Struthio camelus: one gene and its partners. The protein of the gene in region 3 interacts with the protein of the main gene of each other region in a biochemical or structural test. Links are inferred from orthologs where the notes say so. Each region holds a gene or a part of one and is shown on either strand. Other genes may lie near its edges.

Region 1 (10,326 bases), on a different chromosome or scaffold from region 3:
CGGCGGTGCCCTGGTGGAAAGCACCTCTCCCTGCCTCGCTGCCTCTCCCAGGACGGCGGCCAGGGCGAACGCCGAAGGGGCAGGAGGTGCCCCGCGCCGGCAGCGCCGCCGGAGCGAGCCGGGCTCCCTTTCCCGCGCCACCCCGTCCCTCGGCCGCGGAGCTGCCCGGGTGCGCGGGCGCTTCCCGCGAGCCCGAGCGGCAGCGCGGCTGATGAAAAGTGCCGGGCGTCTCCTGGGAGAGCTTATTAAACGTCACAGCCCGGCAAGAGCGAGCCTGGCTGGAGCAGCGTGACATTCATGCACCGGCTCAGAGCGGGGCAATGTCAAACAAACGTAATTAATTCCCCTCTGCAAATCAATCAGGGGCCAGAAGTCAAGCCCGCCTCATGCAGAAAATATACTGCGGTGAATAACGATCCTCGCGGACGTGCGAGCCATGCAGGGCGCCTCCGAGGGCGCGCTCCTCACCTCCGAGCAAATTAGAGAGCCCCCCCCGCAGCCCGCGGGCGACGGCGCGACGAGCCCGCCGGCCCTCCATAATGGATTATCCGGTACAGCAAATCTCTGCAGGGCAGAAACGCCTGCGAGAGCGCCCCAGGGCTGCTCTGGCCCCCGTTTCGAGCCCAGGGGTGCAGACAGGCTGCAGCAGCCAAAGCCAACAGGTTTCCCAGGCTGCTGCTGCTCGCTCCTTTACGCGGCGGCTCCGGCAGAAGCGCGGCGTCGGGGAACGCTGCAGCCCTGCACCCGGGGCTGCCCGGCGCCTCCCGAGCTCCCGCACGTCCCTCTCCCGAGGCCAGGCGGTAACTGCCGCTCTGGCTGCAAACGCTGCCGTGCAGCTGCCTGCAGATCATAAAATACCATGTGATGTCTTCACGAGTGCTGGGCGATCGCGGGGCAGCCGACCTCGCCGCCCTGGCTGGCGGGGCTGGACTCGAGGCACACCTCGGGAGCTCTTATCAGCCGTGCTGGAAGGCGAGATACCACGCTAACGTCAAGGGAAGTGCAACAGAAAGCCGATCTTGGGCCCTTCGGAGGCGAGGCAGGATGTCGGTGCAGCCAGCGCCTCCCTGCCAAGACTTCTGCTCAGCCGGCTCGGCGCCTTCGCGCAGGAGCGGCAGGAGGACGGTGGCTTGCCTGCGGGCACCGGAGGTGGCAGGGAAAGCTCTGGGGGGACAAGGTGCTGAGGCTCTTCCTGCTGGCCGGCAGGACCCTGGGACAGCCCGCCCGGGCGAGCCAGGCAGAGCTGCTGGCGCAAGGAAGGGAGCGAGCCTGGCCTTGGACACCAGGTGCCTACATGGTCACCTGTGACAAGTCAGCTTGAGAGCTTAAAAGTCAGCTGAGGCTTTAAAAAAATGGAGAAGACAACAGCCATTGAATAAAAGAGGTTAAGAGTGGGAGAGGGAGCAAGAGCCTGGCTTTGCATGCCAGCACCCCTCTGCAAACCAGCCAGGCTGGTCCCCATGGATTGTCTCAGCAGCGTCTCATTCCCCATTTCAGCCCAGGTCTCCTCCAGCCACCACTCAGAAAGACACCAGAGCCTGCAGTGTCCGTGGTCCCAACAGCACTGCCGGGGACCAAACCAAGGTTTTCCAGCAAAGACTCATCTGATCAGGCCCCCCCGGCTGGACGGGGTGCACCCTGGCCACATAGGTCCTGGCTTTGGTTTGAAAGGCTCTGAGAAAGCCATGGAGAACCAGGGAATGCCTGCAGGAGAGCATCCTTCACCTCCCTCCTCTCTGCACTGGCGTCTCTGTTTGGCGTCCATGGAGGCGCTCGCTCGTTCAGGACGGGTCCTGCTCAGTCTCCTGAACGCTTCGTCTGCAGGCAAACCCTGCTGCGACCGCAGGTGCCCTGAGCACCCCTGGCCCTGGCGCTGCTCCTCTCCCCTGCAAGTGAAATGGTGCTCTGCTTGTTTGATTTCCCTTCATCACCATCAGAAAAGCAGCCAAGTAGCAGCCGATGGGGGACATTATGGTGCTTTTGAGATGCAACCAAGGAAGGAAAAAGCAGGTTTGGGTTGATGCTAATAGCAGAGAAAACCTCAGAGCAAGGAGAGTGCTTGGGAGCCACCGGGCTGTATTGCAAGCCCAAGGACCGGAGCCGGTGCTCTGCCCATGACAGGGCTTTGTGCTCTGCCCATGCCAGGGCTTTGCTCCAGGACAGCAGCACAGCTGGGCTGGGCTCCCGGGCAGGCCTGGTGGGCCCCATCCCGCCGTGGGGCAGAAAGGGGCCACATGCGGCCAAGGGCTGCGGGTGTGTGATCCAGCCTGGCTCGGCAGTGCCCGAAGTCCAGCTGAGCACAGGCAGCACCTCTAGCTACAGCCAGAGCCGCTAATAACACTTTATGGAGTTGGAGCAGAGAGGCGAGAGAGGGGGCTTCCTGTAAAAGGCTCTACTTAGCTTCTAAATCATGCCCGGGAGCTAACATTTTGCTGATTTTCACATGTCCCATTTCCCTGGGAAAGTTGGAGTTTTGCAAGCTGCCGGGCGAGCTCTCCGCAGTGTCCCTGCTGGCCTCTGGCAGGGTGGCACGGGGCTGGCCAGGCAGCCACGGGTGCTGAGAGGGGCTGGACTTCTCTCTGAGACGCTTCACACAAGCCCTGCCTGAGAACAGACTCCTCTCGGCATGGAGAACGGCTGCTGTGAGCTCCTCCAGCCTTGGGACAGCGGGGTGAAGTCACCACTAGTGACTCAGATGTTCTAGCACATGGGAAGTGATTTGCCAAGGTCAGACAACGCACCTGGACGCCTCTGCAGAACATCAGCAACGTCCTGAAAAGCCTGGCCAGGAGGCGGAGGGGGAAGCAGAGAAGAGACGAGTCGTGTCTTAGAGATGGGGAAAGAGGGCTGCACGGGAACTGGCCTGTCCGTCCGAGCCACGCCGCAGCCGGCAGAGGCTCCGATCAGGAGTCCTGAGGCTGGTGTCCTGCCCGAGCCGCGCTCCCTCCTGCAGCGCCCCGTTACCCGCGTGCGCAGCCACGCTCAGCGCACGTGCGCCCGGTAACGCGCTGCGGACGCGGCGCTCGCACGCACGGAGCCGATGCGCGTGCACCCTGCACGCCCCGCAGAGAGCAGGGCCACGCGCACGTGTGCCCCGGCTGCCTCCCACGTGCCCTGCCGCGTGCGCTGCCTTTCGCTTGTGGGGTGGCGCAGGCTCGAGCCCGCGAGCCAGCCGGCCGCCTGCGAGCAGCCAGCGCTGCACTCTGATGTGCCCCGGCCTTTGCAGGGCCAGCCCGAGCTGACAAAGTCTTTGTCAGCCAGATCTTTCAGGGAAAGCTCTTTGTTCTTCAGCGTTTGCTCCTGGCCTCCCCCTCCACAAAGCTCAACTAGATGCATCTGCTTTTGTTTTCTAAATGCAGAATTAGGGGCTGAAAAGAGCCCCTTTGTAGTGGGGAGGAGGGGAGAGCTGCAGATCTTTGACTGGGCAAGTTGAGGTCAGGGGGGAACGGCTCCTTTGTGCTGCCGGCTGGGCTCGCGCTGCTACCCTGCCCCTTCCTAGACCCGGGCCCTCATGCAAAAGTTTTGGAGACTTGGAGAAACTGCTGTGCAAGCAGTATTGGCAACATCCCACCACCAGTGCCGCTGCCGCTGCCCGGGCGGTCGGCTGCCGCCGTGGCTGGGCTGCTCGGCGATGCACATGGAGCAGGCCACCGCGAGCGAGACAGCCAGGTGCCGGGGACGGGCCGCTCGGAGCAAGGCCGGGGCGAGCAGGCTGCGGGACCAGCACCCTTGCCAGCCGCCAGCAACCCCTCCGGCTTCCTCGTCCTGGCCCCGGACAGATCTCGTCCGTGTGAGCGCACTGTCCCGGCCCCGAGGCCAACGGGATCGTTAGACCAGCACAAAGCTCTGCACGAGCGCTTGGCGCTTGGATGTCCGCGTCAGAGCCAGCCCGCGAGCACATCCGGGCTGCGCGCGGGCTCAGCCGAGCTTGGGCCGGGGCTCGGCCTGCGCGCGGTGAGCTGTTCAGCTGTCAGCGTAGCGCAGATGTGCTTTCAGTTTATCTTGGTCCTGTTCTTGATTAAGTGTAGTTGCAGTGAAACAAGCCCGGCTCCATGTGAAAATCGCATCTGCGTCGCCTCGAAAGCGTGTCACCGACGCGCAGGTGTGTGCGGGAGAGCGTGGCCCTGGGGACCGGGGCGGGCTGGATGCCCACGGAGCCGGCCCCGGGGAGCGCTCCTCTCCCCGGCCATCCTGGGGGTCTGTATGCCACCAGATGGTGACAGCTCGCGGTCACTCCTGCTCCGGAGCCCCAGTGCTGAGGCCGGGGGGCAGCGAACCCTTGAGCCTCCCAGGAGCAGGGGATTCTTGTCCTCATTTTCCGCCATCTCCGAGCACCGTAAAGGCCCACAAAGTTCAGTCTTCCGCCCCCGCGATGCAGCCAGGCAGAAAGCCATCCCCAAGGAGAGCAGCAGCAGAGGTGCGAGCCCTTCCCCTTTCCTCACAAGGACATGTTATGGCTGCAAATCCATCAGCTCCATTTCAGGGCCGACGTTATTAAGCCTGGGACAAAAGCTTAGCAGGAGGCATGGCTGCCCTGGGGGGGGGCAGGAGCCGCCCGGAGCTCTCTCAGGTCCCCGTGCAGCAAACCTGGCCCCAGCCTCGGTCCCTATAGCTAAGCATGAAGCAGGTTGGTTCCTGGCTGTCCGGGGGATGAAGAGAGCAGGGCTGGGGCTGGGGGGGGTCTCACTCCTCGGGGCAGGTGGTCCCTCCTGCAGAACGGAGCTGAGCCTGCTTCACCCGCCTGGAAATAGGAAGGTGCTCCAGCTCGCCGGGCTGGCCCTCTCCAGACAATGAGATCTGCTTCCTCCGTGCTTCCGCCTGCCCTCCTTGCCAGGTAGCCGCACCGTTCTTCGATCACCTCCTGGGAAGAGCTCGCCTGTCCGGCGAAAGAGAAAAAGCAGAGAGAGAGGAACATGCTGCCAGCCAGCACACCTACCGCCCCGCGGGCTGCAGCGAGAGGGAACCCACGCACGCAGAGACGCCCAGGCTGCCCCGCAGGCAGGCGCCCGGGGAGCCCGCCTGGGGCAAGCTGCGCATCACGGGGGCACTGGGGAACAGCTCTTCTTGCCCCATGCCACCGGCTCTCTTAGACACTCTTCCCATGCTCAACATGCCGGGGCAAGAGCATCCCGGTAGGCATGTTACCTTCCCCTCCCTCTCCCCTGTCCACACATCTGTCATCCCAGAAAAAAAATATTCAGTAGGTCTTGGCACAGCCATCTGAGCAGTTGCCTGAACCAGCAAGAGGCTGCTCCTGAAGACAGATGCCCAGCATTTGGTTCAAATATAGCTATGGTGATTGACAGGGCTAATTCAGTCTGTCCTCTTCCCTGTTATAACTTAATCACTTACACATTGCCTCACGCAGGTCTTTCACTACCAGCCAGGAGACGTCTTCATCCTGACCTACCCTGACTTTGAATGTGAGTCGGGTTTGCTCCTCTATCTGTGCTTCCTGCACGGAGGCCAAACCTTGTCACAGTCCGCATTACCCTGCGCGAGCCTGGCTTTGGGGGAGCTCGCCCGACCCGCAGAGATTGGGCCTGGGCCTGGGCCTGGGGAGGGTACAGCAGCTACAGCATATGGGAGAAAGGCTGGAGGCCTGACCAGCCGACACATGTATTGCCTGAGCACGCAGGGATCTTTCGGGGTGCTTTCCAAGTCTTCGTGCTCCGGACCTCAGTGGAGAGCTGCCCAGCTGGGCACAGCAGGGGAGGGGCAGGCTTTCCAGCAGCAGGAGTTCCTGGACGGCTCCCAGGAATGATTTGAGTCTGGCAACCCTTTGGAAAACTGCTGGCAGAAAGTGGGTGCCCCAGGCCTGGCTTCGCAGAAGGGCCAGGCTGGGGGCTCTGGGCTCCCCAGCGCGCTGCCGCCCCTGCGTGCCAGCGCGCCGCTGTCTCGGCGCCTGGTCGGCGGAGGCCCTGCCAGGAGGCCGGCGCCGCGGGACGAGGGCTCTGCCCCTGCTCCCGGCTCTGCCTCCCCCGGACGGCGGGGCTCCCGGCTCGCCGCTCTCCCGGCGCGCAGCAGCCATGAGCGAGAGAGGGGCCGAGCGCAGAAGGAAGCATCCCGCTGCGGAAGGGCCGAGCACCTCGTATGCGCAACCTGGACGGTTTTGGGGGGGGGGGGGGAACAGCCTTCGCAACCCAGCGGCGGCCCCGAGGCCCCGGGCAGGGGCCCGGCGGGGGGCGGCCGCCGGGCGGGCCGGAGCGCAGCCCGGGGGCGTCGAGGGGAGGCGGGGAGCGAGGGGGTCGGCGGCGACTACAAGCCCCAGCAGGCCGCTGAGGAGGAGGAGGAGGAGGAGGAGGAGGGCTGGGGAGGACGGCGGAGGGGAGCGCGGAGGAGGAGCCGGGGAGGAGGCGGCGGGGCGGTGCGGGAGCGGCTCAGTCCGGCGGCGGCGGGGACGCGGCGGCAGCGGCAGCGGCAGCGGCGCCCGTCGGGTCGGGTCGGGGCGGCGGCGGCGGGAGCGCCTGGGGCCGGCGCCGCCATGGGGCGGCCGCAGTGAGCGCGGCGCCGGCGGGGCTGCGCCCTCGCCCCGGCCGGGCACCCGCCATTGTTCGGTAGCGGCGGGCAGCGCGCCGCCGCCGCCCCGCGGGGCTCCGGTGAGTACCGCCGCCTGCGCCGCCCTCCCGCCGCTCGACGGCGGCCCCGGCTCGCGGGCATCGGGGCTTCGCGGGCACCGGGGGGGCTCCGGTTCGCGGGCATCGGGGCTCCTCAGGCACCGGAGGGCTCCGATTTCCAGGCATCGGGGCTCCTCGGGCGCCGGGGGGGTCCGATTTCCAGGCATCGGGGCTCCTCGGGCGCCGGGGGGGCTCCGGTTCGCGGGCATCGGGGCTCCTCAGGCACCGGAGGGCTCCGATTTCCAGGCATCGGGGCTCCTCGGGCACCGGGGGGGTCCGATTTCCAGGCATCGGGGCTCCTCGGGCACCGGGGGGGTCCGATTTCCAGGCATCGGGGCTTCGGAGGCACCGGGGAGCTCCGGTTCGCGGGCATCGGGGCTCCGCAGCGCACCGGAGGGCTCCGATTTCCAGGCATCGGGGCTCCTCGGGCACCGGGGGGGCTCCGATTTCCAGGCATCGGGGCTCCTCGGGCACCGGGGGGGCTCCGATTTCCAGGCATCGGGGCTCCTCGGGCACCGGGGGGGCTCCGATTTCCAGGCATCGGGGCTCCTCGGGCACCGGGGGAGCTCCGATTTCCAGGCATCGGGGCTCCTCGGGCACCGGAGGGCTCCGATTTCCAGGCATCGGGGCTTCGCAGGCACCGGGGGGAGCTCCGGTTCGCGGGCATCGGGGCTCCGCAGCGCAGCGGAGGGCTCCGATTTCCAGGCATCGGGGCTTCGCAGGCACCGGCGGCTCCGGTCCGTCGGGCTCCGCGGCCGGCGCTCCGCGCAGCGCGGCGGGGCGGCACGTTGGAAACGCGCCGGCCCGGGGCCCGTCGGGGGCCGCGGCCCGGGAGCCCCCCGCGGCGCCGGCGCTCCGGCAGCGCGGCCGGGCCCGAGGCCACCGCCCGGCGCGGGGCTGGCGCGGACCTGGCTCTGCCGTTCGGTGGCTTGTTTGCAAAGTTGCTGCCTAGCCGTTGTGTGCGAAGAGAAGTTCGCAAACGGGAGCCTCAAGGCTCCCAGAAGAAGATGAGTAAGGAGCCGGCACTTGCTGGGTTTTGTTTTGTTTAAGCCTCCTGATGTTGGGGCATTCCGGTGGTAACTGGGGATTGAGATGCTGGAAACAACATATCCTTAAATTGTATATTTCCTTTGTGTTTGTGAGGTGCCCATGGGGAGATGAGGAGATTCTGAGATTGTCTTTTATCAAAACTCTTTGCCAGGATCTCTGAGAGTCGTCCTTGTTCATACATGGCGAACGCTCAGAGAGTACAGCGTGCTGGCTGATGGCGTGTGCGATATTTGTCTTATCTGCTGGGATGATGTGCGTAACTAGCCGGGACTGTATTGGGTTTCAGATGGCATTTTTGGTTGTGGTATTTGTAATTTTTGCTGTTTTACCGAGTTGAGTGCAAGATCCAATCAGAGGCAGCTTGACTTATGTAACTAGCCGGCCCAGCTGAAAACACGAGTTGCGTATCCATTTGTAATGCGTTCAGGTTACACAGAGAAGTACTGGAGTCGTGGTGCGCTTCTCCTTCTCTGCCTAGATTGTTGAATAACTACCCAGCGTCTGAAGCGCTACGGCTGACTGGTACACAGTTCCTTCCGGTGAATGTTTAAACACCGAAGTGTGGTTCACCGAACTGCTTGTGTTAATAAAGCACAGAGGCTTAGAAGCTGTTCTTCTGCCCAGGTCCCGAAGCGAGTGAAATTGGAATTTGCTTTCAGACTTGAGCAGGCGGAGGCAGCGGTGCTGTGCCTGGGACTCGCTCGGCGGTGAGGGGCCGCGCGCGAGCGCTTGTGCAGAGGAGGCGGGGAGCCGTGGGGGCGCGGGCAGCGGCAATGCAGCGACCCCGCCGAGCCCTGCCGATGCTGCGGGGCCGGGAGCACGGACCCTGCATACCTCTCTGGCTAGCAGCCATTTTCCCCACACATGAGCACTTCCTTAATCTCTGCGGTGGCTGGCATGCACTATTGCCTTTTCCTTGTGTTGTTCAGGGAGGATTAAAATAAATCAGGATGGTCCCTGCCCTGACGGGGTGAAGGCAGGAGCAGTGCTCTTCCCTGCGTTGCAAAAGCAGCCTGCACGCGCATGGGTCGGTACCGGGCTTTGCTGGGTGCAAAGCGCCTGCCATGGGGAGCGCTGGCTGCTCCAGCCGTGCTGGGAAGGAGCCCAAGTTGCTTTCAGGTGCAAACTGGAGCTCCTTATTTATTTATGTGCCTAAAAATGTGAACTGCACTAGGAGCTGTTTTGGCTCCAGCCTCAGCAGGTTTTACCCTGATGCTCTGGCTCTGCAAGCCCTGGCTGCTAGAAGGGGCCGCTCGATGGAGAGTGAATTGCGATGCTCATCCAGCCCTGGCAATCCCACTTTCTCCTCAGCTTCCCAGGCCTTGCAGACCTTCTGCTTCTGGGGATGAAGGCAAATGCAAACAATAGGGGAAACATTTGCTGGAGAAATGTGCATCTCTCCTCTCCCAGCAGCTTTCCTTGGAGGATCTGAACGTAGCAAACCCCCATCCAGCTCCCTCTGCAGATGGTTAACTGGCCTTTGCCTCTTCCAGAGGATGGCAGACTGTGGCTGCATCCCACTGCCCCTGTCTGGGACATCCCGCACTGGTCACCAGCCGGGGCACTCAGCGTTCAGTAGCCCAGCTGAGGCTTTTGGGTACTAAGAGATGTTCTGCAGATCTGAAAATCAAGTCCTTGGAGAGGGATCCCTGGATTTGAGGTTGCTTCTGAACCTACCTTCCTGCCCCGTCTGCCAGACTCCCTGGTCACTCTGCAGGGTGCACACAGATAGCGTGCAGGGACCTCTCTCCAGGGATATTTCTGGTAGCTGTAAGGCCTTGCAACAGGCTCTAACTCATACGGCATGAAAGGGTTAACACTGTATGTATGCGGCACAGTTGGATGTTTATTTTTCCAAGCATGTGTCTGCTTTAAGCATTATAATTTTTCCCTATAGTTACATTTGCAGTTGTATTTGCTTTTTATTTCGGCAAATACTTGGTTCCTGACCTGAGCCATAGGCTGGGGCAGGGAGGTGTGGGCAAGGGGAAGGCTGTTCTCCCTCGTCCTGCCCAAGACTTTTGTCTTTGGCGTGCCCTTCTTTTGCAAGGGCACTTGGAGGGCTGCTTGCGTTGAGCCTCTGAGAAAAATTCAGCGTCTCTTCATGTACGTTTTGAAGCTGGAGCGCGTGTATGCCTGGCAGGTGCAAGGTCTTGGGGAGCAGCTCTGCTCTGAGCCTGACGTGGTGCCGTGGTCCCTGCTCCTCGTTTGCTCAGGCCGGTCCCAACCTCCAGCAACGCGGGCTCCTGAAACCTTGCTGACCTGGGAGCCGAGTTGAAACTTCTCTCTGTTGAATCTGGATTGCCCTGTTGGTTTTTATCGGCAGCTGGTTGGTGGCCCCGAGGCTCCCTGACGATCGGGCTGCCTCCGCGTACGCCCTGACGTGGGGACTGCTTGCGCAGACCGGTCCTGCTCGGCCGTGAGACGAAGCCTAAGAGGGCAGCAGGGCAGCGGGTAGCGCCGGCTGCTCCTGGGAGACCGACACTGGGGGCTCTCCTGCAGGACGTGGGACACAGCACCCGTCCGGGACCACGGGGACCCGTCCTGAACCATGCTCAGCTCCCGGGCGTCCCGGCCGAGCAGCCCTGGTCCGGCACTGGCGTCTGCGTTTGGCCCCTTTGGTGCATTCGCGGAGCATGAGCCAGGCGGCTGCAGGGGC
Region 2 (10,366 bases), on a different chromosome or scaffold from region 3:
CAAATATATTAATGAACTGGTCTCCGCACTGAAACAGATTTTCCAGGCCACTATTTGCTAGCTGAAGAATAGACTAAAAACCAAAAAGCCACATTTCATCATCCCCTACTCATGCCCTCTAATTTTATTGCTCTGTAAAATATGCTAGTCTCAACATTAAAGACTTAATTAACTTCTTGAAATCTGCTACCGTTAAGACAATAAATGAAACAACTTTCTTCAGCAAAACTATCTCACTCATAGCCGCCCACAGAATCTAAAGGATTTCAGGTCTGAGATATAAAGTAGAAAGCAACAATACTTTATAAGGGACTCTTTTTTAAAGGGCTTTGAAATGCTTTCCTTACGAGAACGTATAAACCCAGAACCCTACTCCAGGAATGGTCAGCGCCACGCAGCACTCACTCAAATACAACTCTAATTTCAGGGTGAACTTTGGAATGTTTAGATACACAAAGTAAAACGACCCGGCCCATAATACCCTACATCCTACCCAATATCCTCGTCAGAAGCTGAAAAGGCTAAAAAAAACCAACCAAACAAACCAAAGTTGCTATAAGCTGCATAAAGAAAAACTTTTCAATCGGCACATCACCGCTGTTTCCAAGCAGAAAAGTCACAAGAATGTCTGGCCCAATATTTAAATTAAGTTAAAACGTGAAATGGTACCTTTTCTATTTCTTTGGCTTGCTTGCTGGGACCAGTATGGTAACTCTGGGTGACAACTCGACTACAGTACTACGCAAGTAAACCTCAGTTACTGCTCTTGACACGCTCGGATAGCTCCTCCCTTGCCGCACAAACTTTCTCAAACATTAACAGCTTTCTACGCAACTCTGTCAATGCATATACACAGCTTTAGCAGCTAACTAGTGTAGTAAAAATCCTAAGACGTCCAAAAATTCACTTTTCCCATGTGTCACGTATGCACACGCACAAACCAGATACGGAAGACAGCCTGTTATCAGAAGTCTTTAGAAGAGAAATGCTGCTGTTTCTGTTGGTCTGCTCTCTAAGAAAACAGCCAGCATTACTTGACATTCACAAATCGTACCAAGTAATATCTTTATCTGAATACTAATGCAAATTGGAAGGGCTTTTTTATATTGATGTCTATTCTGTGGCTGCTGAATAGAGTGACCGCATGCTCAAGGCTGCAAAGGAGTTCACTGACCTCCCTAATCATCTCTGTCATAGCCGCTGAATGACATACACATTCAATCCTGCCTTGCCTCTCTACTTTCATTCATAAAAAAAAAGAAAAAAATGACATTGTTCTTCCTGCAGCAGCCCCGAGAAAGGGAGAGAAGAGAAACTCAGCCCAGATGAGGCCCCTGGTGTTTTTAGTTTAGCTTCTATTCAGCAACAGCCCCGCCATCTGCCTCCTTCCTGCCAACAGCCGAACACCTCCCTGCGGAGATGTTAAAACCTGCACCCCCTCCACCTCCACTAATAGCTAGTATTCATATTAGCAAACATACACATACCTCGAGAATGCCTCCCTTCAATGTGTGTTTTATGTAGCTGAGTATAGGCACAAAGCAGTAGCTGTTACAGCCTTCACAGCCCCGTGTGGAGAATTAGATCACTAGGGAAAAATCCTTCCAAGCCCCTTTATGGAAAATAAGGCCTTACACTGTAAATGCAAAACCTAGTGAACAACAACCCTCAGTAATGAGCCAATACCCCATGGCCCATTTGACTAGGAGAAAGAATTTGCTTTTTACCATTCAATTCAAAGCTTGAAAAGTAAAATGTGTTTTTACTTGGCTCTGAAGGTTTATATTCTTTACAGTTGCTTTTGCAGGTCCTTTTCTCTCCCAGATAAGAGCGCCCTACGCGCTGGCAACAGGTCCTCTGCCCTTGCCTAACGAGTCAATTAGATATCACGACAAGCAGCCCGGGTATCGCTAGCGATATTTCACGCTTCCCTCGTGCACGTGGCCAGTCAAAAAGTAGCCTGGCGTTACAAAGCTCGGTCCCGTCTCCGGAGCACGCTGCCTGCCCGCCCCGCGCGCGCCACCCCCTCCTCTCCCGTCACATCTCCCTGCACGACTCGTACTGCCGGAGAAACGCTCGGAAACGCTGCTCCGCGTCCGTGCCCACGGGAGCCCTCCGCGGAGGGCCTAATCCTGCTCCCCGGGAAGCGCGGGAGAGTTTTGACAGCAGCAACAACAGCAGGACCACAACTGTGCCATTACTCGGAAAAGCCGGGGGGACGAAACCAGAACCTGCCCGCGCAGGATTTCCACCAGAGCGCCTGGCAATCCTGGAGCATCGCTCAGTTCAAAGACATCACCGTAGGGACATTTTCTTCAGCTGCCTCCCTTCCACCAACACGCCGGACGACTATAAGGGCACGTCACTTGCTAAATTTCAAACACCACCCTAAGATCTTAACGTGCAAATGTGGGTGTCTTAAAGAACAGAAAGGTTTTTACTGTTTTTCTGCCCACGATCTCAGTCCCCGGCTGTGAGCTCAGCCTGCCTGAGTGTAAATCCAGAGGACCCCCGAGGAAGTCACTGAGGTTGCTCCACACTTTCCTTGGGGCTCCCCAAAGAATTTTGCTCTAAGTGACAGCGCAAATACATATTTCAGGCTAACACGGGGAAAAGTTCTGACCTTAATTTTGGTCGATTCCTAATACCGTTACTAGCACAGACTGCTCTTGCTTCCTCCTAAACACCAATCTCATCTGCTCTGACAAAGCAGCTGAGATGTTGCCCCATAAATCAATTCTTTTGGCTGTGAAAAATGAGCCAAACGAGTTACACTAAGAATCTGGTGTTTTATTAGTACTTTCTTGAAAACAAAACCAACCCCCTGTGTGATTTATAGCTTTAACCAAAAGGGGTATGAAAGTAATGCCCCCCCCCAGCCTCCACGAAGCCCATTTATTCCCCTGTCACTTTTTTGGCAAACATGCTTCAAACCCTTTCGTGAACAATGGAAACTTTCTGTTGGGTACACGCAATCTTAAAGACAGGGGACTAGGAGGGGGCTACCTTCCATTAAAGAGCTTTGAAAAATAAACAGGGACTCAGGTAGCAGCTGAGGCGTATCAGAGAGACACGACATTTCAAACACGCTGTACCGTTTTTAAACAGCTTTTGCCCAACGCGTTAACTTTTTTTTTTTTTTCACTTGCGACTGCAACGCTTTCCACTCGAGGGGAGATATTTACTGCATTCCCGCAGATGTTTTCCCCTCCTCAGCACAATCCCAACTCTTAAGCCGTGCGCCGGCGCCAGCGGAGCGGTGGCACCTCCCGTCCCGCTCCTACAACGCGGGCACAGATGCCTCCCCCTGCTCTCCGACGTGCGCGCACGGAGGGCTCTCTGCTTTTCCCCGCTCAGCTGCGAGCGCGGCTACGGCCAAACCCCGGATCGGCACCGCGGCGGCAGTTACTGAGAGAAGGAACTTCGAAGGCAGGGAAAGTTGTCTGAAAAGCGATTTTTCCTTCCCGGGCGTCCTGCTGGCTTGGGCAAGCCGAAAGTGCCGCTGGCGGAGGAGCAGGCAGCGCCGGCCAGCACTTTCCCAAAGCCGGCAAGCGCAGCGCGCTGCCGCCTTTCTAACTCGCCCTCCGGGGCCCCCGAGCTCGCCGCGCCGCGGCCCGTTCCCACGCTCGCCTCCCGCCCGGCGCGCCGCACCGCGCCGCGCCGCGTCCCCCCGCCGGGCAGCCTCACCTGCGGGCTGCCCGCCGCTCCTCTCCTCCGCGGGGGAGCCGGGCCGCCGGGCCGCCGGGAGCCCGCCGGCCGCCGCCGCCAAGCACAGGCACCACAGGGAGCCCCACGCCGCCAGCATGCCTCCGGCGCGGCACCGCGGGCGCGGGGGAGCCGCCGCACCGCCGCCGCCCGGCTCAGACATCCTCCGGCCGCATGCTGCCGCCGCTCAGCGCTCCGCTCCGCCGCCGCGCTGCCGAGAGAAGGAGAGAGCCGCTCAGCACCCCCCCGCGTACCGAAACAGGGAAAAAGGGCGGGGGGAGGGGGGAAAGCGAGGAGAAAAAAAATAAAGGGGGGACGCGCGCACATAAGCGGCGCCGGCGAGCCGCTTACCTGCGCAAGCCCCGCGGCTCGCCGCGCACCGCTCATGGAGGGAGCGCGCCCGAGCAGCCGCCACCGCCGCCGCCCGCCCGCCGCCGCGGCGCTTCTGCGTCTGGTTGGCGGGCGCGGGCGCGGAGCGGGGCGGCCGCGCTGTCCCCGCCCGCCGGGGCCGAGCCGCGGGCGGCCCCGCCCCGCTCCGCGCCGCCGCCGCCGCCGCCGCCGCCGCCGCCGCCGCCGCCGCCGCCGCCGCCGCCGCCGCCGCCGCCGCCGCGGGGGGCCGCGCCCCGCTGCGCGCCCCGCGGGCGGGGGAGGAGGGATGCGGTCGGCGCGGTGCGAGCGCCGCGCACCTCCGGCCCGACTGCAATCGCACGGAGAAGAAGGGGGTTCGCCTCGCTCCGGGAAAGACGGGGTCGGCGGGGTTAAAGTCGGTCCGAAGTCCGGCAGTGCTAAGTACGAACCCTAAGACTGCGGCCGCGCAAAGTGGCCCCATGCCCTGCCATAGTGTGCCATGAAACGCGCACAGACTTCGTTTTTCTTTTTTTTCCTTTTTCTTTTTTCCCTGGCCTTACAACAGCAAGGGCGAGTTTTCTGAAAAGAGGCAGAATTGGCTTAAGCCGACTCCGTTGGGTCGTGGGCAGTCTAGGCAGGACGTGGCATGGCAGAAGCCGCCTGCGAGCGGTGCCTGCACTCAGCCTAACGGCTCGCATGCTGAAAGCGCCATGCGCCCGCTCCCCTGGCAGGTTTGCTGTGCTACGGCGGGGACTCCTTTGCCCTGGCCCGCCGAACACCCAGCGCCGGTGTCGTATCCCTGCTTGGATTCTGCGCGTTCACTGCTGCTAGCTGGATCAGCTACTTTTAATAAAATCTGATTAAATGTCACTTGTTACGATTTTGGGTAACGCAGTCGTCTCAGTCACCCCCAGACGTGGCTGACTCGCCGAAGTGACACGCAACATTTATCATTGAGAAGCGATCTGAGCTGCTTCATACAGAGGTCACAGCTCTGCTTTAATCCTCTTGACGCAGCAATTCATTCACTGAAATCTGAGAGGTGCAACTATTATCAGAGCTGAAAGCGCTCTGCGCAGGGTCCCCCAAAACCCCAACTTGCTAACAGCTAGGGTGAGATGGTTCAGGAACGAGAAACGTGTAAAAAGCTCAGGCGGCCTTGAGGTTTGCTCTCTGCAAGCCAAATCCCAGCTGCTGGGGCAGGTTTCGCTTTCGGCGGCGCGGCAGAAGGCGGGAATTGCTGGCGACCTCCGTGGCGGGGCTCTGCGTCGGTGCTGTTGTCGCTGAGCTCGGCGTCCGTCTTGACACCTTTATCAGGCGCGGAGAGTCTGACATCTCAATACTACGGCATTGTGTGGGGAAGCATTGAACCGGGGCTGCAGCGAGGAAATCCTGCATGTCAGCAGAGACTCTCGCAAGTGTCACAGGCAGTTTAAACGAAAACAATGGAGGGAAAAGCAGGCATATAAATAAAACGCGGTTATTTCGCCTGGGAAGTGTGTCAAACTGAAAGATGTTTTCTCTCACAACTGCTGTGTTAGAGGTGCCAGAAAATTGGTGAAAACAACAACAACAACAACAACAACAACAGCGTAATTATAGTGAGAAGAAAGTAGCGTTGCATGTGGAGTTGTTGCCGTTATTATTTTGATGATGACTTTTTGGAAAGGTAGGGCCAAATTCTGATCTCATGTAAAGACAGCAGGGTAAGAGCAGCACAGCATTTAATTGGTGAATCCTCACCGTCTTTCCTGTGATTATCTCCGTTTTTCACAAGAGCAGCAAAGGAAAGTCAGGAGCTTTCCTCAATCCGCAGCTGAAGCAAGAAAGTAAGTGAAAATGCGGAGTCAGGTGAAGCCAAACGTGTCTGTGTCCCTCTCGGGCCAGGGCGACAGGATAGAAACGTCCCATCCAAAGCAAGCGAGTTTTAAAGCTGCTACCAGAGGCTGCTGAGAGACTTAAAGGTCTGTGTCTCAAATCAGGTAAACCTAGCCCTTTAATGGTTTCAAACTGGTTTTCTTTTGGAGAGAAACTGAAAGCTTACAACATTTGGAAGCCCTTTGCGACAGGAAATCAAAGAGGTATTGAGATAGCCCTGTGTAAAGGACTTCAAGGTTGGCAGTTTTCCCTAGGGTGGGATATTTTTAGGTTTCCCGTTTATTAACCTCTGGTGCAGCCCATTCACATGAGGCTGTGGAGCACCGACCCGATTAAGCGCAGATTTTTAGATGCTAGTTCATCACTGCGGTGGCCACTGTAACAGAGCCGGAGATGCAGTACTGTGCAGTGAAAACTGTGTTTCTGGACTATGTCTCAGCCACATTCTTACTATAAAAAACTCAATGTATGTAGACTAGTAAACCCTGCTCAACCCAATAGCATTTATTTTAGGACTACTATGCTGTAAGATGCATCCTAGCCGCAGAGTATTCCTTTCACCTCGACCTAAGAGCGCGTCCCCCTTACGCCGATCTACACGCACCACCCCAGTGTTTGTTCTCCTCTTACCCTTTATAAACTTGCCCTTCCCAGGGCTTTGTATTTGTTTAGCCCCTTAATATCCAGAGCTGTCCGTGATGAAAATCAACCCGCTTTCGGCAGCTCTGGGACAGCGAGCGGCTGCCCCTTTTTTCCGAGGCAGGGGCTGAAATACGATGTGGTGGCAGCGCTCTCAGTGTCAAAGCTGGTCGCTGCTACGTTCCCGGCCCTGGTCCTGGCCGAGGTGCTTGGCCACCCGGAGCGGCTGCGCCCCCACACCCTGCTCCTGCTCCTGTTGCCCCTTTCCCGTAAGCCATGGCTCTCCCTGCTTCCCTGCTCCCACCGACAGGTAATTCAGCTCAGGGACCAAGGCAGGTGGCCCTGGACCAACGCCCCTTTCCTTCTCCTTCCCTTCCCTTCCCTTTCTCCACGGCTCGCTCTCTGCCTTCCTGCCAGGCCTCTCCACCAAAGCTTGATGCCCTTCAGGCTTCAGGCAGGAAAGCTAGAAACGGCATTTTTAGTGGTGGGCCAGCACATTAGAACTATTCTATGCAGAAATATATTTAAGCATAAATCTGGCCACTGAAAAGAATGAGGCAAAATAATGTCTTTGCTCTTTTTTTTTTTTAAATTGATTAAACCATTAGTTCCTGCCTACCTGCATAGCTGAGTTGTTGTATTTAACCAAGCAGAGAGCAGAGCATGGTGGCTGCTGTGAACTGACACATCGTGGGCCTCCATACAGATCTTTAAAATGATGCTGGGGGCTGGTACACCATCCCACCACGCCATACATCCCCATCAATGGGTCCTCGTACAACTTGCTTCCTTAGCGGGCAGAAAACAACTCCTGAAGCTATCCTGAGATGGAACAGGGCAGTGAAGCAAGTGAAACTTCAGTGCAAGTTTGAATATGCTGAACAAGATGCAGTAGAATTACATGGACACGTGGTCACACGAGTCTCTGAATCATATCAGGTTAGGTACACAGAATAAATATCACCAAATATTTCTTATCAGGACTGAGACGCGTGAGCCAGATTGAGCACCACAGCTCCCCAGGGCTTTACCAGCCTGTTCCTCGTTAGAAGCACATATGAGACTGGGCTGAAATATTACTTCAGAGTTTGTCCATTTGCATGCGTCCAGCCCTTGGAATCAAAGGGTTAAATAGCAGGAGTGGAGGTGGACACGGGAGTAAATTTTCCAGAGATCATGTCACTATCTATTTATATCAATAAGGCACATTGGAATGGCTAAACCAGTTTTTATTAACTAGCCAGTCCAAAGGGCTGCGATTCCAAGCAGGTTTATTGAATTTCAAGCTGATAGTCATTGTTGCTAAGATTAAGGACCCAAATGATTGTCAGGGTAAACACTGTGAAAGGTTAAGCCACCATGTGAAGGCTTTCTCTGTGCTTGCAAATGAGAAGCATATCACTTTGAAAGGTGGTTACAGCACAACTTCATCCTGTAGAGTTTACTTCCCCACAGAGCAGCATGGAAGTGAGAAAGAGAAGGCTCTGTTAAGGGAGAAGTAATTTGATTTGAAGAGGAACGAGAAAGAACAAGTGAGCTGGAGAGAGACGCACAAAGTCTCTTCGGCAAGAGCTGCATATGGGGAGGTTCTGGCAGAGGTGAAATAATTTGGCAGCCTGGAGAGAAAACTAGACGGTTTGCGGAAGTAGATAGAAAAAAACTGGAGAGAGCCTGTGGAGGGTGTGAGAAGCAAAGATTTAAAATCAGATCTTGAAATAATCTTGATTCAGTACAGCCACCGTGCGTGCAGCATGGGACACCGGCTGGCTCTGCGCCCTCCTGCGAGCACGTCTCGGAGATGCAGTTCACCTGTCCTGCAGATCTGGTTATCCTAGTCCTCCGAGTAAACCAAGACAAGCATCTGGAGCCTGCAGAGAAGAAGACAGAGATATTACTTCTGCCTGCCCGGTGCATTCAAACAGTCACTATATATGACATTTCAGATAAACTTTGGCTGGAGCACTTCATTTGCAGGCATAGCAAGACCTCTAACTTTGGGGGCATTTGAAATGAAGCCACACGCTGCTTAGTCACCCACCGGTCTGCGAAGACTGATGCCGGTGAGAATAAACCAGACGCTGCCAAGGCAGTTTTCTGGGAGACCCACAGTCATGTTTAAGTAACTGTCCTGAAGCTAGGATTTACTCCAGGAACACACCCATGTACCATGAGAACTGGGATCTTATCACATCTGTGTGGCATGGTCCCAGAGGCAAGCTCCAGCCCATGGGCCTCACTAATGACTGCTGTTGGCCCCAGCAGCGGCATGCGCGGGATGAAATCCTCTCTGGTCTCTAGCCATTTCGAGAACCGCGCTTCATGCTGTCCAGTGTGGCTCGTGACTCCCAGCCCAGCCATAGGGCCTGGCTTTCGCATCCGTATCCCTCTCTCCAGGGGCGTTTCGGGGGATCTGCCCCACTCTGCAGTACCGGAAAGGAATGTGTCGTGAGCAGCAGAAGATCTGTCAAAATAAAGAGCCATCAACTAAAATAAATGTGAGTTAAAGATAATTCAGCTGAGGTCTTCTATCTGTTGAGGACTGCAGAATTTTAGTCAATATTAAGACATTATTACTACAGTTTTCAGTCAAGCTCTTTCTCAGTGGCACGCTTGTCTTACTTTAGGGGAAGGCTTGAATACAGGGACAAATCAGTCATTCTTAACGCTGCTTTACTACTGACTGTGTGCTCCCACAAGGCAGTGCTGACACAGTCCCGCGTCTGACTGCAGCCCTGCCACATCTAGAGGCTGATTTGTATGTCTATCTCCTTGCAATTCCTGTGGTAGTTTTATTTTTCCAAAAAGCACAGTACAAGCTCTGCTCCACTACAGAGATAGGGTGGGTGGATCAGACGCATATTGGTGCATTAAATATACAGGATGTGTTACAGAATTGAGTGACTCTATAGCTTTTTCTGGCCTTTGAAATAAAAAGTAGTACGCATGCACATTCCAAATCCTATGTTCATGTCCAGCAGCTTTGCAGTGGAAAAGCAATTGAGGGTCTCAGAATACTTTATAAACAGAGATAACTCTTCTAGCTGGTCTCTGAGACAGTTAAGGGTTATTATCCCCCTGTTACACATGGTCACTCCAAAGCCCAGGAAGGTGAACTGACTTACCACATGCCAGCTCACAGTCTGCAGCTTTGATTGTGGGACCAAATCCAGCACTGTCATAATAAAGTGATAACTACCTCGGGGATCTTGTGCTTTTGCAGAAATGTGATTCCCCTCACGCAGCATGCTGGATGTCCAGATCAAACATAATGAAGAATGCAATCTGTGGTCAGGGAGGTTTGGCCTCCGCCAGCCCGGCAAGGCCTCTGCATAGTAATTGTGGAATAAATCATTTCATTCATCATTAAGGGAAAAACATTTGTGGTGTGGAAAGCAGTAGTTACATAAGAAATTGGATAGGAGGCAGGTAGGTATTGACTTTAAAACGTTGCGTGGAGCCAATGCCTTTAATCAACAAGGGAAATGTTTGAATGTTAATAGAACTAACAATGAAACCAGAGTCATGTTTTGACAAGTATTTCCAAACATTCCAGGAACACTGAGATGCTCTAACAACATGTTTCCTAGGGAGGTAATTGATTGCTCAAGTTATAGCACAGTTTGTAATGCGTAAACAGCCTTGTGAGTGTGGGCCGAAATGAAAGGCTGCAGCGGGGAAAGACAGCTGTCCTCGCGGCCCTGATGAATATGGACAAATGATGATTTTGAAAAAAAAAATGGGAGCGCTTTCTTCCTGAAGCAGACAAACATCCTGCAGACTTCTTAGAAGGGAGGTG
Region 3 (10,906 bases):
GCCCAGGGGAGGCACAGGGCTGGGAGGGCAGAGTGGGGTTACAGCCTTATGGCCCCTCCGAGAGCCTCCTTGGGGACAGCGTGGCAGAACCTGGCCTCTGCCCTGCCGCACGCTGTCAACAGGGAGGTGTCTGGGTTCGTGGAGACGTCTTCTGGAGGAGGGTGAGAGAGAGCTGGCCTGTGACCTTCACGTGGGCCCTGGGACAAGCCTTTGACCCGCAGGAGGTTAGCTCAGCCTTGGCTGCCAGCGGGCTAGCAGGGACCTTGCGTGCTGGCAGCTGTGTGCTGGTGGCCGCTCGAAGCAGATGCTTCAGCTCACTGTAGACTTGCTTATTGCTTTTGCATCTGGATAGACTGAACTCCTGCGTGAATCGGCTTTGAATCTCATGTAGGCCACCATTTCAACATCCTGTGGTGGAACAAAGTACTGGTTGCGCTTCAGTTCACTTATTTTGGAAATCTTATGTGTGGTCATGTTACCACTGGTGGAGATGCAATCACTTGCCTTCAGAAAGCTAGAGAGGCCTTTGGCCATTCCAGAAAGTGGACCTGGACGCATCAGGATAGAGGAGTACCAGGCTACTGTGCCTGCCAGCATGCTGACCAAGTCATAAGCGGGGACATGTGTCCAGCTTATGGAGAATTGCAGAAGCTCTAGGAGAGGCACTTTCCGTCTTTGCCCCAAGGCAGGTGATGACAGGGTAATCAAGGCAGGTTGCTGACTGCATGTCTAATCTAGCACTGATATGTAGGGTCCAGCTGATGGTCTGGATATGTGCCTTGGTTGGTATGTGAGTGCCATCACATCTTTCAGATAGTGAACTATCTGAAGAGGAAGTGTAGCTGGCTAAGAAAGAACTTCAAGGATATCCTAGAGGCTAGTTTGAGCGCAGCCTACTGACAAACTCTTCTGAGCTTGCAGTCACAAAGGGGCAGCAAAAATGCGTGAGTGTGAAGAAAGCAGAAATCTGTTTGAATAGAAACAGCACGCTCTTGGGCAGGAAACGCACGAAAGGCAAAGGCTGGGGCGGTAGCAGCAGAGCGGTTCTCAGACTGAGTAATCTTGTGAACAGTGTCACAAAAACTGCTTACCGTGGATAGACCTGTGCAGTCTTCTGCATACACAGCAGCTTTGACTTCCTCCCCTTTTCTTTTTCCAGTTAATGGCACTTTCACTCTTGAGCAGGACGATCTTGTGAAAGGGACAACTAATTCAGTACAAAAGCAGCAGATCTTAGCAGCAGGTAGACCTTATCTAGCTTCAAGCATCACCAGCAGATACACGCATGCCAAAAAACTATATCAACGTCTCTATCAATGCATTTTATCTGACTTATAATGGCATTATTACTTTTGTACTTAAATTAAGATATTTTAAGCATATAGCCTGATACTCCTTGGACTCCCTGAACTCCCAAGGACAGTCACAAAGATCATATTCTGCTATGGCTAGTTTATGTAGCTTCACTGATTCCTATAAGTGGCAAAATATCATCATGTCATAAGAAATCCATGTCAGATACACTGCTGCAGCTGTATAGCACATGGTAACACTGGTGCTATGTTTCCCTGAAAAATTGCATGTAAACTGCCTTATGTTTTACAATCCTCCTGTCTGAAAAGTTAGGCAGGAGGTTGTAGGTCATATTAAATATACTGTCTTCTGGGATCCTTGCAGGCAATCTTTTACGTCATAAATACTTTTAAACTTTTTTCCTACAGTTTCTGAAATGAAAAGGCAAATGTTATTCCTCTAGATCCATTTTTCTTAAATCTGTAGGCCTTTCTTATGTTAATCCAATCAACTTGAATCACATGGCTAGTAGTTTAATCAAGCCATTTTACAAGCGTGTTATTTGTTTCCATGTAATCTAATGTTTCATAATCATGAGTTTCAGTAACTTTTCATTGCTGAGATGACATGACTTTTCTTTGGAGGATTAATTTGTGCAGTTATATTAATAGTTTAATGCGCTCACCGTCCATTCTGGGGAAATGCTGAATCACATGTATAGCATAGCAAGTGGGATTCATCCAATCATATCTGGACCTGTGTTATGTAGAAGTCTATATCTAATATAGGCTCTCTTCATACACAGGGGGAAGAAATGAGCATCTCTAGAGCATGAGTCATGTCATCCTAAAGTAGATGCCTAGAATAGGTCAGATGATTCGCTCCCTAAAATTGCACCTATTTCTCTGCATTAAAGAACAAGTAGTTTACTTGTCTAGACTGCAGCAGCATGCAGTGAGGCGAGATTAATTATACTCTATAATATTCAGGTTTGTATTATGCTTCAAATACCCTGAAAATTCCTATCTGCAAAGAAATCTGAAAATGACATTGCTTTCTATATTATGTTCTATTTATAAAAAGCAGCTTTTGAAAATTTGCTGACTCAACACATTTTTAGTGAAGTTGGCAAATGCCATGTTTGTCAATGACAGGTTGTAGATCCTCTCTTGTTAATGACATGAATCTTCTTCAATTCTCCATCTGCAATGTTAGGAAAAATATGTTGTAGAGAGATATATTGTAAGTCCAGAGTAGAATTCTGTACTTTTGACGAAATTATGCCGTCTAGGGGGAAGAAAAAACACATTTCTTGTGGCAGGGTGATTTTTTTAAATCGCTGCTCAAAATTTGGTATGTGAAAAGTTGTTGTAAAATTGAACTGGTGGGTAGAGTACAGGTTAAGCAGTTAAAAAAAAAAAAAAATCACGATACCTAAAACTTGCCAGAGGTGTCACATTAGTGTAGTACATGCCAGAAGAATATGTGCCAGGAACTACTTAAGAAATGCAAGATTCTTCTGACCAGCTCTGCTAGCAGGAGTTAAAATCCTGCATAAAGCTGATGAGTAAGCTCTTGATGACTCACTGTGGCAGATACAGTCTTTAATTCCAGGAGGGTATAAGGGAAGTGGGTGTGAATCTCTAGTTGAGGAGAGTTTAGGGGTAGAGGTGTTTCTGCCTCAGTGTCTTGGGGATAAAAGTGTAGGCTTTTAATATAGCCTGAGATATTGGTAAAGCCAAACTTCTGCACGGGGTAAGTTTGACTTTACACATCACACACAGATTTTATGTGAAGCAGGGTTAGAACACCACCTACTCACAGATGGGTATAATTTTGGGGATGCCCTGCATAATTCATGTGTGGCTTTGATACTTATGAGTAATTCAGACATCAAAGCCTCAGCTTAGATAACACTTTTATAACACCAAACTTCCTATAGCCAATAATATGTGGGCTTTCATTTAAATTCCTTTAAAAAATTATACAAATAGTTCCTCCTTTACCTTCAGATATTTCGCATAAGTAGTGCTGGTCTGAAGTACAAGGTAGAAAATACTGAAGCCTGGACTAGACAAAAAATTAAAATCCTGTCTCTTACTCTTCACTGGGACTAGAAATGTAAACTTTAAAGGACTGGAAGCCTCTTTCCCATTATTTCTAGACTGAGTAGCACACAAATATCAGGACTTCCAGTCCTAATCCTTGTGCTTTGCCAGTGGCGTGAGCCTTAATTTCTCAGCAGTCCTATTTCTTAACAAGCAATTTTATGTTCTCTTCCAAGTCACCCATTATGCATAGAAAAAACCCTTCCCATTAATAGCCATAAAGCTCCTTTATTGTTCTCCTTCAAATCTCCTTAAAACTTCCTTCTGACACAAAACACTTGTCATTGGCTAGGCCTGTTGCTTTTTATTCTCAGCACTGCTTTTCCCTTATCCTTCCCCCATGTGTCTGTAGTATACACCTGTTGTCTTTCATCATGGGTTAAGATCATAAGCTCTTTGGGCATAGACCATCGCTCTTATTACATGTGTCTGCAGTATCCAACACAATGGGACTGTGATCCCTGAATGGGGCCTCTGGGTACTGCCGTGATCAAGTTGATAAAGAATAATGATTTTTGACATGGGGAGTTCTGCAGTTTTTCCCAAGTCATTCTGCAGTTGTTCACACTGATATAACCGTTGTGTGTGTGAGCAGTGTCCTTAAACCTGATATATATGGTAATGCTGTGGAACATTCCCGGAGAGCGCTGGAGCAGTCCTTGCTAGCGCTGATTTTCCTGCGTTTTGAGGAGGGGGAGGGGGATTGGTCTGCTCTTGCACATCAAAATGCATGGACTGATGGGCAGCAACTGTTTCTTTCTGTGGGTTTGAGCAGAACTAGAACAATGGGACCCTGCTCTGCAGCTCCTGAACCCCATCCTGCGGACGCTAGTAATGACCAGTGGAGTCACATAAAGGGAGACGGCTGGAGCTGTAGGATGGGTTCATGCACCACTGGCATGGAGTATGCCCTGACAGTTTCCTTAACATCCTTGTGGATGCGGGACACAGCCTTTCCGTGCTGCAGTCCCCCCTGTTAGCCATGGGAGCGGGAAGTCTTGCTTCCTCTCGAGCGTGGAGTCCCAGCAGCAAGCGGGAAGAGGCACAAAGGGTGGGTTGTGCCAGCCAGAGCTGGGCTGCTGGTTTTTGGGGTGGGGAAGGTGAGGAGAGCCGCTCCCTCTTCTGCATGCCCATCGAGCAGTAAGACATGCAGAAAGTCTATTATTTTTAATTAACCCCCTTGCAAAATTCTCCTTTCCCTGAGCTCTGTTTCCAGCCTCCACCAGTGACCTTCCGGGGCCCTGCCCTCTTGGAGAGGTGCATCATCATTCACACCATGCAATCTCTCCCCCCGGCTCCCATGATATTATGTTTCCTCTCCTTTTCTCCCTTTCTTCCCCCTCCACAGTCCTGCCTTCAGGTTTCGCATTTAATTCCACAGGGCTGCCGGAGTCATCCTCTCCTTCAGTGTAAGCCTCCGTATTGTGCCCAGTCCTTGAGCTCTGCTCCAGCAATCCTGGAAAATCAGGAGACCCTTCTGTCCCTTTGCTAATTAATGCAGCTGTATTGGAGTGCGGCGAAACAACAATAACATCCATCATCGGCATCATAAGAAGAAACATATATCCTCCCGCCCCCCCCCCGCCTTCACCAGCTCTCTCCCGGCCGTTTGAAATAACTTCTTTTTCGGGAGGAGAAGACTTTTCCAGCAACGGCTTGGGGTCGATCTCCTGCCACAGTGCCCCCCCGCCCCCGGGTTGCCACCTCCTAGCCGCCTCTGCCTGCCCTGCGCCGGCCTCTCAACAACTTGCGCCGGGTCCCGGCCCAGGGAGAAGCGGTCCGGTCCCTGAAGCGAGCGCCCCGGCGGCGCAGCGGGGCGGCCCCGGCCCCCCCGGCCCCCCCGGCCCCCCCGGCCCCCAGCCGGCGCACGGCCCGGCCCGGCCCCCGGCAGCCGCGCAGCAGCAGCGGAGCCGCGAGCGCTCCGCGCTCCCGAGGGGGGCGGCGAGTCCCCGCGGGGTGGGAAGGACGAGCACTGCGGCGTGGCCAGCCGCGCCGGCAGCCCCCCCCCCCGCGCCGCCCTCCCACCCCTTCCCCGGGGACCCCGAGCTTCAGTTTAAAACCCGCTGCGGGGCAGCGGCAGCCCGGTTACCTGAAGGGCGGCTCGGCCCGGCAGGCAGGCGGCCGCCGCTGCCCACAGCCAGGGCACCACCGCGCCGGGCTCCGGGGTCGCCGCCGACCTCGCAGCCCCCGGCGGGCGGGCAGGGCCCGGGGCGGGCTCGCGGTGCGCTCGGCTCCGCGCCGCTCCGCGCCGCCGTCCCGGCCAATGTCACGGGCGGCGGGCACTGCGGGCATCTCCCGCAGCGCCCTGCCTCCCGCAGCGGGGTGACCGGCTGCATTTCGCCCGCGCTCCTCTCACCCGCGAAAGTTTCGCCCGTTTCTTTACTGATTTGCCCGGGCGCGCGGCCGTGCCGCAGAGCAGCGGGAGAGCGGCTGCGAGCAGTGCCTAGCGCTGGAGCCGCGGCTGTATTGCAGCAGGTAGGGCTGCGCGCTAGGACCTCGGAGGAGCCTTCCAGCAGCAATCAGGACTACCTTAAACCCAGCCCAATGCCTCTTCCTGCGCCACTCTGCGTGCTGGATGGAGATCCACAGTCAAGAGCTGCAGCTCAGTGCTGGAGTACAACATTTCACAGGGAGCCCTGCAGAAGCAACACCTGTTTCAAGGCAGCCAAGAAAGACACAAGCACTTGTACGTTTCTGCTTTGCTTGTGGATCGTCAATAATCCTAAACCCATGGACATCTGCTGAGCCTCCTGAGCGTTCTGGATAATAGATTTGGACGTCAAAAGTTTTTTTTTTCTCCTTTTTCTTTTTTCTTTTTGGATTTATCTCAGCCAACAACGTGAGATTCCCCCCTCCCCCCTTTGCGGGATTCATGCTGATGTATGCAGTCTGTTATAGAGTAAAAACAGCGCATGCCTTTCTGGAGTCAGAATCCATAAATCCTGACGTAGCCTGTGCATCTTAAAAAAAATCCCTATAACGCCTAGGTATTTAAGTTGCTATGGTCATTCTTATCTTAAACCAAATGGAGAAACTACGGATTTTTTTCTTTATTACAGTTGGATGGGCTGAAGACCTTATTGCTTGCTAAGAGCTGGGGATATATGCATATATATAGATATACACATCTATATGTTTATAAATATGTCAGTGTGTGAGTATAAAGTGGTGGTTTCTTAGACTAACTGGTTTGACCTTGAACCTGTACCAGTCAAAACAGAATATTACTTTTATTTATGCATTTAATGGATTGAAGAAAGAACATTTTCTCTGTAACTGCGATAGGGAGGGGAGAGGAGTGGAATATACCTAATCTTATATCTCCTGGGTTTGGCACCATCATTATTGTTTATTCTTATTCTCTAAAAGCAGAATCTTCTGATGGCTCCCTTAGGTGAAGTTGGGAACTATTTCGGTGTGCAGGATGCAGTACCCTTTGGGAATGTGCCCGTTTTGCCGGTGGATAGTCCGGTTTTGTTAAGTGACCACCTGGGTCAGTCTGAGGCAGGTGGGCTACCCAGGGGGCCTGCAGTCACGGACTTGGACCATTTAAAGGGGATCCTCAGGCGGAGGCAGCTATACTGCAGGACTGGATTTCATTTAGAAATCTTCCCCAATGGTACTATCCAGGGAACCAGGCAAGACCACAGCAGATTTGGTAGGTATTATCATTAACCCTTCAGTGGTCATGTGATGAAATAATGTGGTAGAAGTGCGGGCGGGGGGAGCTGGGGGGGTGCGAAGCGGGCGGGGAGGGGGTTTTGTGGTGATGTCTGATCAGCGAAGGGAAAAAATGAATGTGTCCGGAATTGCAGATATTCACAAGTGGCACAGCCGCAGCGAAGCAGGAGCCCGCACCAAAGTCACGGTGGTTTTGGTGGCGATATTTACGTAGCCCCAAGTTCTGCTTAAGTGTAGATACGTATGGGGAGGTGGCGGCGGCGGTGGTGGTGGTGGTGGTGGTGGTGGAATTTTTGCTCCGGACGTTTCTACTGAATGATTTGATTTCACGGGGTTTAAAGGGTTTTTAATCATTAACCACTACAATTTAAAATTCACTGAGTTTCCTGAAGGGAGTGGCTGTCGTCCTGTACGCAAATTAACGCAGGCTTTTCTTTCGTTTTCTCTCCCCATTACCTGCCCTAGTAACTGCCTGGCTTGCCAATTGAACGTGTTCTGATTCTCAGCGAGGGATTCGGCGGCAGCGGCTGCCGCTCCCTGCCGGGGCCGCCTCGGAGGCTCGGCTGCCGGCGCGAAGCGGGAGCCGCAGCCCGGCAGCGAGAGCAGCGCCGGCCGCTTTGCGGAGGCAGCAGGCTGCGGCGCGCAGGTAGCCGGCCCCGGGCTGGGGCTGCGCTCGCAACCCGCCGAGAGGCGGGCGAGGGAAAATGTGGCTTTCCGGAGCTGTGCGGTGTGTAAAGCTGGGAGCTAATTTTTAAAGAGCATTCCGTGGATTTCATTTGCAGAGGACGCTGTTTGTGACTCAGCACTGAGGGCTGCAGGCTGGAGGGCTGACGGCTTCACGCACTTTTCGGAGGCGGTGCGTGCACAGCCGCGCACGCACACAAGTCAAGCGGGCCTGGAGCTTCTTTGCTGCCAGGGAGGTTGTTAAAGGCCCGGCAGACTGAATACACGAAAGTGGCTCAGGCGGCCTGGATGGTCGGATTCTTTGTTTTTTAAGGAGGGGTGAGGAAAATACGCCAGGTTAGCTAGCCACGCTCTCAGCTGTTGCAAGGAGTTAACTTGTGAGTGAGCCAACCTGACAGCACTTAAATTCGGTCGTAAAAACAAAGTCCTGTGGTGTTTTTTTTTTCTTTTTTGTGCTTCATGTTCTAATGCCAGATGTTGAACCATATCTAAACTGTATTTTATTGCTGTTTAGATAATACCGGTGTTGTAGGAGATGGTCTCCAAAGGGCGCAGAGGGGAAGGGGCGTCGGGGGCAAGGGGAGGGAGAGGGGGTTCAAACTCGCACGGTCGCAGGTTTGTCACCCCCTCGGCCCCTTCTCCCTGGCACTTCGGCGCGGTTTCCCGCACGGCCGCGCTGCCCGGCCGCCCGCCCGCCGTCCTTGCCTTGGGCTGGGCGCGCAACGGCCGCGCTCCCGAGCACGAGCCAAGGGGGAGCAAAGTGCCCAAAGGGGCTTGCGGGAGCGCAGGGCAGTGCCACAGCGAGGGCAGCGCCGGGATTTTGCACCTAGGCGTTTTTTGCTGGACACACGGAGACGCTAGGAATAGCTGCTCAAATATACGCGCGCGCCGGTTCTCCCCTTCTCCCTGCGGGTGCGCACCCGCGCGCACACACACGCCTTGACGGCAGCAGGCGGAGGGCGAGGTGGCCGCGGGTGCGCGCCCGGGGGACGCGCGTGGCGAAGCGCTGTGCCGGGGCCGCGGCGCGGGGCGGCGGCAGCAGGTGTAGCGCGGCCGCGCCGCTGCGCGCACCGCCCGCGCCCGGCAGCCGGGGCTCCGGGCCCGGCACCCCGCGGCCCCGCCGCCCCCGGGAGGAGGGCCGCCAGCTGCTCCCTGTCCAACGCCGCCGTGACCACATTATTCGAGGCGTCTATTTTTAAAAATGGCTTTCCAGCCGCAGTTGTAGGAAGCTAACAATTCCGAGGGGCAGCTATTCTCGCCCTTGGAGCGCCTTGGCTTTAAATAGATGGTTTTCTTTTCTTTTCTTTTCTTTTTTTTTTTTTTTCTCTCGGTTCGGTCGCCCTCTTCCCCCCAGAAAGCACCGTTGCACTAACTCTTCTCCCATGTAGTGCTCCGGTGATGCCCCCCGCGCGGCCGTGCAGGCTGGGCAAGGCGATGCGACGGGATGCTTTGCGGTTCCTGGCTTAGAGAGGGGGGATCTGAGTACTTCTGTGCCGGTGCCGTGACAGTGCTCTTGTGTTTATCGGCAGGTGGCCGAATGGCAGATGCTGTTTGGGTTTTGGTGATGGTAAAGTCTTCTGCTTACCCTGGGAAGGTGTGCAGGCAGCTCTCGGGAGCTGGCTGTGGGGAGAGAGAGCTAACTTGCTCGCCTCTGAGCGTGTGGGGGAAACCTGTGTATGTGTGTGTGGATACACGAGTAAGAAGGAAGTTTTTCCTGCAGGAATAAGGAGGACAAAGAGAACCCCGGGGGCTGCGCGTAAACTCTTCTCATGGCTCTGCCCCGTGGGAATCTCCCCTTCCCCCCCCCCCCCCCCACACGCACACACACCTCTGGAGAGACATCAGATAAGAGTAATTCTTTTGTGATGCTATGTTGGATGTGTGCCTATTGCATACAATAAACCGAGCCATATTGTGTGTCTATACTCGCCCGGTTCTGGAAGCCCGGGCATTTCGCAATGCCTGCAGTAAGATGTCCATCTCTGGAATAAAAGCTCCTCGGGAGAGCAGACTTAGGTCCCCCCTGTAATGCGATCTTATGTGATCAAAGCCTTATCTCTCCTAGGTGACAAAAGATTTTTTTTTTTTGATGCAGTCTCCTTTAGTCTAGGGCATTTGCTAGACAGTGGAGTCATTGTAAATTCAGGAACTCTGTAACAGCGGAGAGGCGTGCCTCTGTGCGTCAGCACAAGTACTGCATGCACAGCATTAAAAAAATAGGAGCATGCAGGAAAAGAAGGGAAAAAAAAAAAAAGCTTGTCAGCAGGTGACCTCCGCTCCCCGGGACCTGCTGCTACAAGGAACCGCTGCGTTCATCATCCGCAGGAGCCGCGCAGCCGCCCGCCTCCTGCCTCTGCACCTCGCCCTGCCCGCGCCCGCTGCGGGGCTGGCGGCCGCTGCAGAGCCAGCGCGGGCGGCGGAGGCTGCGCGGCCGCTCCGCGGGGCTCGGCCGCGCCGGCAGCCCTGGCCCGGCGGCGAGGCGGCCCCCGCTGCGGCTCGGGGTCCCCCCGCCCGGCTCTCTCCGGGGGCAAGCGGGCTGCCGGCGGGGGAGGTGGGGGGGGGGGATGATGCTTGCAGGCACGGCGGCGGGATCCTGAGGGCGGTCGTAGCCAGGGAGCGCAAATCGGGGAGGAGGAGCGAGCCGGGTTTTAGGGGCGAGAGCAGCCTGCGGGGTAAGGAGGTCGGTCCCCCCGCATCGAGCCGTGCCCCTCCGGCCAGGGGCGGCAGCGCACCGCCACCGTCGTGCAACCCGCGGGCCGGGTCGAGCGGAGCCGAGCTGAGCCGGGCCGAGCCGGGCCCCGGCGTCCCGGGGCGCTGCGGCTACGCCGGCGCGGCCCCCGCCCGGGCGCTTTTGCCGCTATTAAACGCTGCGGAGGGGAAGGGGGGGAGGCACCGCGCGCGGTGAAAGCCGAAAATTAAGGAAGGGCCCTGCCGCCTCCTGGGGAGCTGTCGCTGTCTGCGCTCCGGGCTCTTAATTGGCATAATGTGGGGGAGTGTGGGAGGAGCGGTGACAGCTGCGACAGGCGGGAAACATCCCGGCTGAAAGGTCTGTTCCAGCTGAGTGCCAAATGCGGAGCTTTCTCCAAGCAGACAGTAGGTGTCAGGGGAAAGGAGGCGCGGGCGCGGAGCAGCCCTGCTCG

Evidence for each region.
Region 1: the proteins of FGF9 (region 3) and FGFR1 interact in a biophysical measurement, tested with the Homo sapiens proteins (2 studies listed by BioGRID and IntAct, with this or other methods). The link is inferred for Struthio camelus from reciprocal best matches to the Homo sapiens genes FGF9 and FGFR1.
Region 2: the proteins of FGF9 (region 3) and FGFR3 form a complex in vitro, tested with the Homo sapiens proteins (3 studies listed by BioGRID and IntAct, with this or other methods). The link is inferred for Struthio camelus from reciprocal best matches to the Homo sapiens genes FGF9 and FGFR3.

The regions. Positions count from the first base shown.
Region 1 is NC_090968.1:7,229,978-7,240,303, reverse strand, and holds the start of FGFR1 (fibroblast growth factor receptor 1), read left to right. Parts: upstream 1-6,014; 5' UTR 6,015-6,029; coding exon 6,030-6,091; intron 6,092-10,326. UniProt on the Homo sapiens protein: Tyrosine-protein kinase that acts as a cell-surface receptor for fibroblast growth factors and plays an essential role in the regulation of embryonic development, cell proliferation, differentiation and migration.
Region 2 is NC_090945.1:78,284,867-78,295,232, forward strand, and holds the start of FGFR3 (fibroblast growth factor receptor 3), read right to left. Parts: upstream 4,155-10,366; 5' UTR 4,057-4,154; intron 3,917-4,056; 5' UTR 3,869-3,916; coding exon 3,688-3,868; intron 833-3,687; exon of another isoform or gene 670-832; intron 1-669.
Region 3 is NC_090942.1:203,233,845-203,244,750, reverse strand, and holds the start of FGF9 (fibroblast growth factor 9), read left to right. Parts: upstream 1-5,767; 5' UTR 5,768-6,782; coding exon 6,783-7,059; intron 7,060-10,906.